3 linked regions of the Cricetulus griseus genome follow. The protein of the gene in region 1 purifies or fractionates together with the protein of each later gene. This does not show direct contact. Links are inferred from orthologs where the notes say so. Each region holds a gene or a part of one and is shown in the gene's direction. Other genes may lie near its edges. The genes, in order: Cd44, Fgfr1 and Erbb2.

Region 1 (4,365 bases):
GGTCACATGCTTGGTGGTAAGCACTTTACCACTGAGCCATCTTTCCAGGCCTGCCTCTATTTTACAGTACATTTCATATTGTAAGCAGCAGCTGGCTTGTGACTGTAAACCAGTGCCTGGAGACAAACAAGGTTTGGCTTATCTTGATACCCTTGGGCACTCATTACATGTTTTATGAATAAATGGATGGACAGGTGGCTGGGTGCATTTCTCTCACCTTTTCAGTTTATTTCAATGAATCCCAAAATATTACTTTCCCTCAGAAATTCTGCTATGATTTTTTCAGGGTCCTGCCACAGGCATGTTTTCCATGCATCTCATTCAGCAAAGATGTTCACTTCAGATTCACTTTCAGTAGTTCACATTAAAAATAAACACTGCTTTTGATGTCCTAATTGTGACTCACAGGGTATTAGAGAAGATAGGGAATTGTGATTTAAAATACGATTTCCCCCTGCTTTCGAAAAGCCCTGAAATATTTCCCTTGAAGGATATGGCAATGCGCACCCCTCTTTGAGATTTCTCAGGGAAGAAATAAATGGCAGTGTATTAAAGTTTGCAGCAAAGAGGGCATAAATGCAAACAAGAAAGAAGTGACAAATGTGTAAGTGGATATGAAGCTGGACAAAATGATGGAACGGGACCGTGTACAAGCATCAGCATGTTGGGGGATGGGTGGGGAAGACGGCGGAGGGAGGTGAGCTTGGGATTTATGGGATGCTGGATGAAAAGTTGTGCTATAGATAAATGGAAGGCTTGGTGATGGATGGGGTATGACTAGGTTAGTGCATATGAAGGAAGACAGGGGAATGGGGGAATCCCAGAAGGATTTAAGGAACTGGTAGGTTAATTAGTTAATTTGAGATCATGAATGAAGTGTGTTTGTGGGTGGGTGGAAGGACAGACAGCCTCCTGGCATGGGAGGTTGTCAGCATGGACTTGTAGAGTCCAATATGACCCCCAAGGGGTCAGATATGATCCCCATAACTGGTCATCGCTAGGTTTCCCTGAGCAAAGAGCCACTGAGAATTTTGAACTTCTCTCAGAGGGAAAGACGAGTGGGCACTCCCACAAATTCCCCACTTTTCAAATCCACCCTGGCTTGGAAGGCACTGTCCTCTCTCCCAGCAGGGTCTCCCTCTTGTCTCAGCTCCTCCCTAGGAGACATCCAGCTTCCTGGGAAACCTAGACAGTCATTCTCCAGCCAGGTTCCCAGAAGTTTAGCGGCAAAGGAGAGACCTGAGGCTGAACTCAGAGGGGTGAGGTCACAGGACTCAGTCATTCTCCTTGCCCCAGGCAATGATCCCCAAAGGCAGGAGGGCTGGCCAGAGAAGGAAACCTGTGGAGTGGCCTGGGGGTGGGAGGTGGGCAGACAGGGGCGGCAGCAATTCTCAGCTGCCCGGGAGAGTAGGGCAGGGTCTCCGAGTCAGCAGCGAAAGCAGACTGGTGTATCTTTAAACCTCCGTTGGCTGCCTAGTCACAGCCCCCTCGCTTTGGGTGTGTCCTTCGCGCGCTCCCTCCCTCTTAGGTCACTCTTTCAAAGCCTGGAATAAAAACGGCAGCCAACTTCCGAGGCGGCCTCATTGCCTAGCGGCCCCCAGCCTGTGACAGGTTCCATCCATCCTCCTTGCCCCAGCTCCCTGCGACCCTCTTTAAGAGGCGACTAGATTCCTGGGTTCTATCCCGCACACCATGGACAAGTTTTGGTGGCACGCAGCTTGGGGACTCTGCCTCTTGCCGCTGAGCCTGGCGCAACAGCAGATCGGTGAGTGGCCCTAGCCTGGGCAGCGGGGATGTGAACGCAGAGTGCTCACTCCAGCAGAACGGCCCCTGGGCTGACCCCCGGGGAGGAAATAAAGTGAAGTGGGCTCAGCAAAGCAAAGCTGGGTTTTGAGGCTACACAGTTTTTGAGGGTTGCTTCTTGGGATGCGCCGCTTTGGTGAAAGGAAAAGAGAAAGGGAGAAGAAAGTTGGCTGGGCAGGTTGCCCGCCGCAGATTTTGGGCGAGGTCGCTGGCGCTTGCCGGAGCACATGGCGCAAAAGTAACTGTACTCTTGGACACGCAGCCGGTGTCCGGACTAACAGGCTCGGGTGCCCAAGGGCTCCGCAAGCAGGGCCAGGCTTGTCGTGGGTGACAGGGCAGAGCCAGGGACTGGGGCAGAGCAGTAGCGGAGATCTCTAGAGTAGTCCTTAAGGTGGCCACAGAGTTGTAAGTCAGAGAGCCTGCAATGAGCTTTTCAGAAAGGAGCCCCAGAAAACTAAAGACAGAGAACCTCGGCTTAGATTGATTTTGAGGGCTTTTACAGTCTGCTTTGGTCACCAACTGCTTTAGTTTGTGGGAACTTGAACCGGCGCTGTGTTCAGGCTCTGAGAGCCCAAGAGGTTCCAGCCTGGGCCAAGGAGGGCACATAACAGAAGCAATGATTTGACCAGCTGTCTAACGCTATGGTCCCCTGGTTCTGCCAGTCTTGGCAAAATCAAAAAGCAACACGGCTCATATTCGATGCCTGGCAGCTTCAGAGTAAGAGGGGACCTGTATCAGGGTAACACACGAACTTTAGTGCAGAGACCTTAACATCCCATCTAAATGAAGTTGGTGACTTTGGTGGCTGTGGAGGGGAGGAGCTGGGGTCAGGTGTTCAGTATGGCTCAATTCCAAGCATTCCCTTCCTTTGTCTATATATGAACAGATAATTCCATGAACCCTTTGTTTAGCACCAGCACAGTTAATTTTTTTTTAAAGAAGTGTCAGCTAGGTTAAGTCAGCTCAGCCTACAGTGAGTTCCTCTCAGCAAGAATTTATTAAACCCAGGTTTTTTTTTGGGAGGGGGTGGCCAACATGGGGATTTTAGGTATGCCAGGTAGAGATCATAAGTTTTGAATTCTGATGCAGAAGTAATACAAATAATAAGAAGAATAGCAACATGACTCTATTGGCCGTTTATTTGTACCCTTTTGCTGTGCCAGGATCGATGTTAGGTATTTCACATATGCTATCACATTTTATCCTCCTGGTGATTTGGTGAGAAGTGTTCAGGTATCAAGTTTTTTGTTTCTTTGTTTGTTTGCTTTTTTGGTAGGGAAACAGGCTCAGAGAGGTTAGGTAACTCCTCATATTCACACAGCAAGGAGTGGTGCTGGGTATGAACTCAGGTTCATTAAATTCCATAGCTTAGACTGTCATGGAATATCTGAACACATGTTCCGGACAAAGCCAAAAGACTTCAGGGAAAGAGGCATTCTGGCCCGCTAAAGCTACAGAGGAAGCTTTCAAAGGGAATCAGAGCTCCAAGGGGCCCTTGGAGGTCAGAAACAGTCAGGATGGGTGGGAGAAGGGCAGGGAGAGGCCTGGACCTAGAGTCCAAGGAGAGGAGAAAGGTTGGACATCCACACCTTTTGCTGTGGCTGAGAAGCTGAGCTTCTGTGTTTTCCTAGATTGTCTTCCGGCTGTTCAAAAAAGCCTACTCCCAGGTCTTTTGGATCCCTTGTGCTCCCTGGGAGTCAGGTCCTAGAGACCAGCAAGCTCTCTCCTGCCTTGGGGTTTTCACCTTCCTGTTGTATCTTGTGGCACCAGGAGAGGCAGGGCAGAGGGCCCCTAGTAGTGCCTGCCTGGTTTTCATGCCCTTGTAAAACTGTTGCAAAGGAACCGAGACTCGGAAATGAGATGTGACTTAGAGGATGTGGGTCTGGGTGGGCAGAGCCTGAGGAGAAAGGGCGGGGCAGAGAAGAGAGGCATCCGAGTTGCCCCATTCTGGTAGTGACTGGTTTTAGGAGATGAAGAAGCTATGAGATTGGGCAAAAGTTTTGCTGGGCAGGGGCGGAGTGACAGAAGAAACTGTCCAGTGTTATATCAGAAGTCAAAAAGTAGAAACATGTTCTGAGGTAGCCCAGCGACCCTAGGTACTCTGTGCAATGCAGGAGAAAGGGACCCTGGACAGAAGGGAATGAGCCTCCATGTGCTCATGTCCTTTCCTCCATGGCCAGAGAACATTGCTAGGAAATTGCATTTCCATTGTTGAGAAAGAGGGGTGCATTTGAGAATCTTGGGGCTCGGGAGCCGAAGGTGTCTCTCTGCTCACTCAGAGCATTCTGGATACTTCTTTCCATTAGCAGTTAGGGTCCTGGCTGAGTCTTCCCATGTGAAGAAATAAGGACGTGAGATCCATCCCCACTGAAGTTAGACTTGATTCATTCTGTTATTCCCCTGCTCACATAGGACATCTACTTCCTTCCAAAGTAGTGATGAGCTGATGTGCTGGGGACTCTGGCAGCTGAGGGAAAAAGTTTCTATTTTCTGCCAACTTCCCCCTACACAGGAGGGGATGCTGGACCACATGAAATTCCTGGTCTATGACAGATCTCCTCC
Region 2 (3,732 bases), on another chromosome or scaffold:
GAGTGACGTGTGAGTTTGAAATACACAATTACCCGGGATATGCTGGGGAAAGAATACTAGCAGTCTTGCATCTCTAGACTGCTGAGAATTTCTTTCCATCATTGGGTGGGGAAGGGCAATGTCTTGTCCCGTGAACATGTTTCAGCCTTTTTTTTGCATTGCCCCTTGCTGCCCCCTTGTCTCCTGTGCCCTGTCTCCTGAACTTAAGGGCTGTGCTGGGGGTGGAGAGGTTCAAGATGAGCACCTGCCCTGCTGACTTCTCAAGAGGACATAGAAAAGAAACCCTAGGGCAGCCTGGCCCTGTGCCGTAAGTCACAGTGGCACCATGTTCTCCTGTAGGTGGTCTTTTGGGGTGCTCTTGTGGGAGATCTTCACTCTGGGTGGCTCCCCATACCCTGGTGTGCCTGTGGAAGAGCTCTTCAAGCTGCTGAAGGAGGGTCATCGGATGGACAAGCCCACTAACTGTACCAATGAGCTGTAAGCATGAATTGGGGGAAAGACTGTGGGGGAAGGCCTGCTGGTAGTTGGCACCATTGAATCCACCGCTGGCAAGCTGGGTCATATGTTGAGGAAATCAGGAAGGGCTCCTTAGGTGGCGGCTCATGGGAGGTTCTTGAAGTCCTCGGGCTCTGAAGGAAGTGGGAGCATGGAGGGCAGATAATGAAACTGTGTGTTTGGAGGGAGCAGCCTCCCGAGTCATGCCGCCCCTGCCCTCTGGCCCAGCTCTGCTGTTGCCTTCCATCTTTGACCTCACTGTCCTGCTTCAGGTACATGATGATGCGGGACTGCTGGCACGCAGTACCCTCTCAGAGGCCCACTTTCAAGCAGCTGGTGGAAGACCTGGACCGCATTGTGGCCTTGACCTCCAACCAGGTAGAGCTACTCTGGGCTGAAACTTGAGCGGTCATCACATAGGCACTAAGGGGACCCTGCCATAAGAAGGTTTGTGTGCCATCTATCCTTTCCTTCTGTCACAGGAATATCTGGACCTGTCGATGCCTCTGGACCAGTACTCTCCCAGCTTTCCCGACACACGGAGCTCTACCTGCTCTTCAGGGGAGGACTCTGTCTTCTCTCATGAGCCGTTGCCTGAGGAACCCTGTCTGCCCCGACACCCGACCCAGCTTGCCAATGGTGGACTCAAAAGACGCTGACTTCCCCGGCCTTTCCCCAATTTCGTCGTCACCTGTGCCCCTCACCCGTAATTCCCTGCGGGACACACTGCCTTTCCCCTTCTCCTTTGCTGCTGGCAAGAGCCAGTGTGTACCTGAGGCCTTCCTGTGAGGCCTACCCCATCGTCACTCCCCACCCCGCCCCAGATCCCTCTTCCTCTTCTCAACCGGCCATGTGAGAAGGGAGTCAAGAGGCAGGTACTTGCTGGTAGCCACTTCCTCCTTCCCAGGTGTTGGACCAAGACCCATCCTGCTGCCTGGTACTCCTTGGAGGCCTGGGGAGTAGAAGCAAGTGGAACAGGTGTGCAAGCAAGAGCTCTCTGGAGTGTTCTGGTTGACTCATTGGCCTCCTGTGTTCTGGTGGCAGCAGCCTTGTGGCTACTGAAGCAATGGGGTTTGTTTCTGTTCGGGCCTTAACTGAAGGCAGTCTCTGCTTCAGATGGGGGGTATCAGTGGCTTCTTAATTCCAATACTAATTTGCTTTGCTGACCAAATACCTGGTACCAGAAGAGAGTGAGGCAGAGATCGGGGGCAGCGATGTGGCCCTGGGGCTGAGCCCTAGACTCGGGGCTCTGTACATAGCTATGAAGAAAACACAAAGTGTATAAATCTGAGTATATATTTACATGTCTTTTTAAAAGGGCCGTTACTAGAGATTTACCCGTTGGGTGAGATGCTCCTGGTGGCTGGGAGGCATCCATTGCTATATATTAAAAACAAAAACAAAAACAAAAAAAAAAAAAGGAAAATGTTTTTTAAAAGGTCATATATTTTTTGCTACTTTTGCTGTTTTATTTTTTTAAATTATGTTTTAGACCTATTTTCAGTTTAGGTCCCTCAATAAAAATTGCTGCTGCTTCATTTTTATCCTGGGCGTGTGAAAAGGGAGCAGATGTCCCCTGCAAAAGAGGGAGACAGGGACTAAGGGGCCATGAGCTGTTGGCACTGTGTGATTTCTATATTTCCCTGACCTCCCAGACCCTTCTATCTCTGATGATTTGGGAAAGACAGGGAAAGAAGACCAAAGTAACGGAGGGCAGAGAACCAAGACTAAGAGCTTGTTCCCTCTGATCATAGATTGTTTCCTCAGAGGAGATGAGACTAGCCAACGGTAGAACAAACCATACAGAGACTCAAAGCCCAAACCCTGTGTGGGTGCGCCTTTGCATCTATGAGAGATGCAAAGCTAGTCTTGTCTTAACCAACCTACTCTCCATTTCCTTTCCCATTCCTATCCTGCCCTTCCTGAGTCCTGTTACCAGGTTGCATTTGTTGTGACTATCCCTGATCTTGGTTTGTAGTTTTTCCTGTACAAACTCCACCCACCCCTCAGGAAAGGAAAAACAATCTTCTTTGGTTTGGGTCTGCTTGGAGACTTACTCCTGCCACCTGCTGGTGGTTATTGTCCTCTTCAGGAGGCACCTTATCATCTTACTCAGACCAGCGCCGCTCTATTCTTAGTGCTTACTGCTGGGTCACTGGGGAATACAAGACAATTCAATATGGCCTCATCCTGCAGGGGTTAGGGCTGCCTCTTTAAATACATTCTGAACGGGGTGTTTTTGGTGGCTGTGGTTTTGGTCATCATCATAGAGTTGTTATCATTGTTTCCCTCTGTAAACCTGTAACTATCAAAGTATTACAAGTGTTTTCTTGTGCTGAAAGGTATAATTCGGCGAAGAGGACCAGGGAATGAATTTTAGCTCAGAATCATCTGCTTAGAGACCATATCATAGTGTCGTTTTCCTTGTTAAAACAGTGACCATAATTTCTGCCTCAGCGCTGCTTGACTCAATGCTGTGTGGATGGATGGGAGGAGAATCTACGGAGTGCTTTGTATGACTCAAGGAAAGGTGCTAGGGTATATAAGGCACTGAAGTCCTTGCTGTTGCTATTCAAATTGCCCACAAATATCCCCTGAGGCAGGGATGGCTATCAAATAAAACATAGTGAAATTGACCTGAAAGAAAATGAAATGGCTATTTTACTTAGGTGACCAGATTGAGTCTCTTGGGAAAGGGAATCCAGCTTATATAATGAAGATGTGCTGTCAAAGTACTGCATCTGTCTGGTTTCCTGGGGGTTAAAATATGGCCAAGGCATCAATCAATACTGCCTTTCAATCCTTTCTAATTGCCAGAGGCTAGAGATCATCAGTCCCTTGGCTCTGTTAATGTAATATATTGATTTCAGGTAAGTAAGATTGAGCATAGATGAAGTAAGAAATGTGCCTTAATGGTAATGAAGTCTGTCTATCAGCTGCCACCGGGTGGAGCCAGCAACCTAAAATCCCCCCACCATATTAGGTAGTGGGCCACTTTGCTCTGAAGTAACAGACCTACCTTCCATTTGGAATCCTTGGCCTGGATTTAGTATTCTAAAACTCTGGACGTGACCAATATGGCTTGTGCAGAATTAGACCTGTTACAAGTGCTGGGTGATACTATTAAATAAAATGCCACCAACAACTATTATGGCAGACTCCTGTGTAAGGTGTGAGCTGTGTCTAGTGTCACTCCAGGTGCATGTTAGAGGTGGCCTAAATTGTACCCTGTGAGAT
Region 3 (3,643 bases), on another chromosome or scaffold:
CTCTGCGTCCCAGTGCTGGGATAAAAGGCATGTGCCACCTTGCCCGACTTCCCATGATATTTTTGAGCCAAGGCACATTCCTGTCCCTTCATGGGGTCTCTTCAAATTTCCTCCCGAGACTAGTCCTAATCTCTGATTCTGGGCTCTGCTTTCAGCCCAGCGACGTCCATCATCGCAACCGTGGTGGGTATCCTGTTGTTCCTGGTCATAGGGGTGGTTGTTGGAATCCTAATCAAGAGAAGACGGCAGAAGATCCGAAAGTATACAATGCGTAGGCTGCTGCAGGAAACTGAGGTGAGGTGCCGTGAGGGCCTCCTAGCGCCGCACCCCCCATCTGTAGCTTGCTTGGCACTCACCACGCCACCCTCTCACTCCAGCTAGTGGAGCCGCTGACGCCCAGCGGAGCCATGCCCAACCAGGCTCAGATGCGGATCCTAAAAGAGACTGAGCTAAGGAAGGTGAAGGTGCTTGGGTCCGGAGCTTTCGGCACTGTCTACAAGGTCAGGAGGGACCAGGCTCTGGCATGAGTGGATCTGGAGGAGGGGCTGTGCCTGAGGAGCATGGTCAAGACAGAGGACTGGACCAGGCTGGAGGGTGGGGAAGGCTGCTCATCAGTGACTTCTTGGGGACCAGCAGGATCTGGACCACAGGCCTGATTCAAGCCCATTTCTTTCTGCTCAGGGCATCTGGATCCCAGATGGGGAGAATGTGAAAATCCCCGTGGCCATCAAGGTGTTGAGGGAAAACACATCCCCTAAAGCTAACAAAGAAATCCTAGATGTAAGCCGGTCACCTTCTCCACTGGGACTTGTGAGACGCCCCCTAGCTGTAGACCTGGGCTGCCTTCTCTTGATGAGGGTTTGGGATGGAGGTCCTAAACCTTGATTCTTACTCTTCCTGGTCTGCAGGCCCTGCAGGGATGGGGGCGGGTCTCCAGGAGGGGAGTATGGTGGGTGGGAGGGAGTAGGTGGTTTCCTGTATCCCTCAGTGTATGCTTGCCTGCAGGAAGCATATGTGATGGCTGGTGTGGGTTCTCCGTATGTGTCCCGCCTCCTGGGCATCTGCCTGACATCCACAGTGCAGCTGGTAACACAGCTCATGCCCTATGGCTGCCTTCTGGACCATGTCCGAGAACATCGAGGTCGCCTGGGCTCCCAGGACCTGCTCAACTGGTGTGTTCAGATTGCCAAGGTATGTGCTTGGGGGCTTCTGACTCTGCAGGTCCTTTGGGTGCAAGTCCCTACCCTCATTTGGGGCCAGAAAAGGATGGGGAATGCCGATAAGGTGAGATACAGACTCAGGTTCCACACTGATGCCCATTTTTCAGGGGATGAGCTACCTGGAGGATGTACGGCTCGTGCACAGGGACCTGGCTGCCCGGAATGTGCTGGTCAAGAGTCCCAACCACGTCAAGATTACAGACTTCGGGCTGGCACGGCTGCTGGACATTGATGAGACAGAGTACCATGCAGATGGGGGCAAGGTTGGAGGAGGGCGGGGTTGGGGTGAGGTGGGTGGGGTGGTATCCGCCCATTGGGAGAGCTTTGAGAAGGGTCACCTCCCTACCACACCCATTCAGGATTTTTTGCTCTGCGTTCCCAGGTGCCCATCAAATGGATGGCATTGGAATCCATTCTTCGACGGCGGTTCACCCATCAGAGTGACGTGTGGAGCTATGGTGTGTGGAGATGGTGATGGGGAGGGCTGGATAGAAGCCATGGCAGGGTGGGATATGGGTACAGAAATGAGGGTGGAGATGGGGGGTGGCTGATGTCCAGCCTGTGGGGGTCTGTGCCCACCTGGAGTATGAAGCGACCAGGCCGATGCTACCTTTTGGCACAGCCTCTCCCCTTGTATGCGCATCTAAGGATCCTGTTCCCCCAACTCCTGATGCCTGTCTGTCTTAGGTGTGACTGTGTGGGAGCTGATGACTTTTGGGGCCAAACCTTATGATGGGATCCCAGCCCGGGAGATACCTGACTTGCTGGAGAAGGGAGAACGCTTGCCTCAGCCTCCAATCTGCACTATCGATGTCTACATGATTATGGTCAAATGTGCGTGGTGGGAGGGGCCGAACCTCAGGTGTAGCGGAAGGGTGGTCTGACCTGTGTGTGGGGGGGGCGGGAGTGAGATGTGAATGGCCTCGGGTGTCCTTGAAGGAACCTCGAAAGGTGCTTCATCCCATTCACAGTAGATGTCCTAGCTGCTCGGGACAACGGCTGTCTAGAGGAGAGAGGCCAGCTTAAAGGGGAAACTAGGAAAAATGCTCCAGGGCTCTGGCTCAGGATCCAGGGTCCACTTGTGCTCCTCTGCTATGTGAGGACTTTGGGCTCAGCCAGGGTTGTCTAGGCCAGACTGAAGAGGAGCAGGAAGGGGCTGCACAGCTGGTCCTGAGCCTGGTCCTGGGACAAGGATGCTGAGCTCTCTCTCACCGTAGGTTGGATGATAGATTCTGAATGTCGCCCGAGATTCCGGGAGTTGGTGTCAGAATTCTCCCGCATGGCGAGGGACCCCCAGCGCTTTGTGGTCATCCAGGTACTGGGCCTTCTGACCTCATCCCTACCCTAACAGTGTCCTCCCTCCTGCAGACAGGAGAGGGAGGGCACACCTGGATGCCAAGTCCCCCAGCCCAGCCAGCCCCCACCTTTAGTCTAAGCTTGGTGAACCTTTCTTGGGAACTAACGCTAGGCTGGGGAAGGGCTGTCACTTTGTGTCTCCTTCCTCCCTAGAATGAGGACTTGGGCCCGTCCAGCCCCTTGGACAGTACCTTTTACCGTTCACTGCTGGAGGATGAGGACATGGGGGACCTGGTGGATGCGGAAGAGTATCTGGTCCCCCAGCAGGGGTTCTTCTGCCCAGACCCTGCCCCAGGCACCGGGAGCACAGCCCACCGGAGGCACCGCAGCTCATCCACCAGGGTCAGTGCCCATCTTAGAACACCAGGGTCCCTTCCCTTGACTGCTCCCCCACATTCACACTTCCTTAAGATCCCATTACCATTACTGCCTTCCAACCCTTGGGACTCCATTGCCTCCATAATGATTCCAAGGTGACCTGTGTTTTTCCTCCTGGGACCCTGTCATTTCCCCCCCAAGGTCCCCTCCCAGATCTTTGAGTAACTTCCATCATGACCCTCTCTTACTCCAGAGTGGAGGAGGCGAGCTGACACTGGGCCTGGAGCCCTCAGAAGAAGAGCCCCCCAGGTCTCCACTGGCTCCCTCGGAAGGGGCTGGCTCCGATGTGTTTGATGGTGAACTGGGAATGGGGGTTAGCAAAGGGCCGCAGAGCATCTCTCCACATGACCTCAGCCCTCTACAGCGGTACAGCGAGGATCCCACGTTACCCCCGCCCACCGAGACTGACGGCTACGTTGCTCCCCTGGCCTGCAGCCCCCAGCCCGGTATGGAATCCAGGCCTGAGAGACTGGGAGGAGGGGAGTTGAGACCCCTCAGGCTACACCCACTGAGAGGTAATGGTGGGGCAGGGAAATCCCGTTTCCTTTCCCTAACAGTTCTTCTTCTCTCCTGCAGAATATGTGAACCAGCCAGAGGTGCGGCCTCAGCCTCCCTTGGCCCCCGAGGGCCCTCTGCCTCCTGTGCGGCCTTCTGGTGCTACTCTAGAAAGACCCAAGACTCTCTCTCCT

What was found.
Region 2: the proteins of Cd44 (region 1) and Fgfr1 purify together in Homo sapiens (affinity purification with mass spectrometry; 3 studies listed by BioGRID and IntAct, counting the BioPlex papers as one, with this or other methods). This does not show direct contact. The link is inferred for Cricetulus griseus from reciprocal best matches to the Homo sapiens genes CD44 and FGFR1.
Region 3: the proteins of Cd44 (region 1) and Erbb2 purify together in Homo sapiens (affinity purification with western blotting; 3 studies listed by BioGRID and IntAct, with this or other methods). This does not show direct contact. The link is inferred for Cricetulus griseus from reciprocal best matches to the Homo sapiens genes CD44 and ERBB2.

What each region holds. Positions count from the first base shown.
Region 1 is NC_048599.1:74,762,724-74,767,088, forward strand, and holds the start of Cd44 (CD44 antigen), read left to right. Parts: upstream 1-1,457; 5' UTR 1,458-1,692; coding exon 1,693-1,765; intron 1,766-4,365. UniProt on the Homo sapiens protein: Cell-surface receptor that plays a role in cell-cell interactions, cell adhesion and migration, helping them to sense and respond to changes in the tissue microenvironment.
Region 2 is NW_023276807.1:58,202,527-58,206,258, reverse strand, and holds the end of Fgfr1 (fibroblast growth factor receptor 1), read left to right. Parts: coding exon 1-9; intron 10-339; coding exon 340-477; intron 478-767; coding exon 768-873; intron 874-977; coding exon 978-1,154; 3' UTR 1,155-3,131; downstream 3,132-3,732. UniProt on the Homo sapiens protein: Tyrosine-protein kinase that acts as a cell-surface receptor for fibroblast growth factors and plays an essential role in the regulation of embryonic development, cell proliferation, differentiation and migration.
Region 3 is NC_048600.1:111,557,434-111,561,076, forward strand, and holds part of Erbb2 (receptor tyrosine-protein kinase erbB-2), read left to right. Parts: intron 1-155; coding exon 156-294; intron 295-377; coding exon 378-500; intron 501-681; coding exon 682-780; intron 781-1,005; coding exon 1,006-1,191; intron 1,192-1,327; coding exon 1,328-1,483; intron 1,484-1,602; coding exon 1,603-1,678; intron 1,679-1,907; coding exon 1,908-2,054; intron 2,055-2,437; coding exon 2,438-2,535; intron 2,536-2,729; coding exon 2,730-2,918; intron 2,919-3,147; coding exon 3,148-3,400; intron 3,401-3,530; coding exon 3,531-3,643. UniProt on the Homo sapiens protein: Protein tyrosine kinase that is part of several cell surface receptor complexes, but that apparently needs a coreceptor for ligand binding. Essential component of a neuregulin-receptor complex, although neuregulins do not interact with it alone.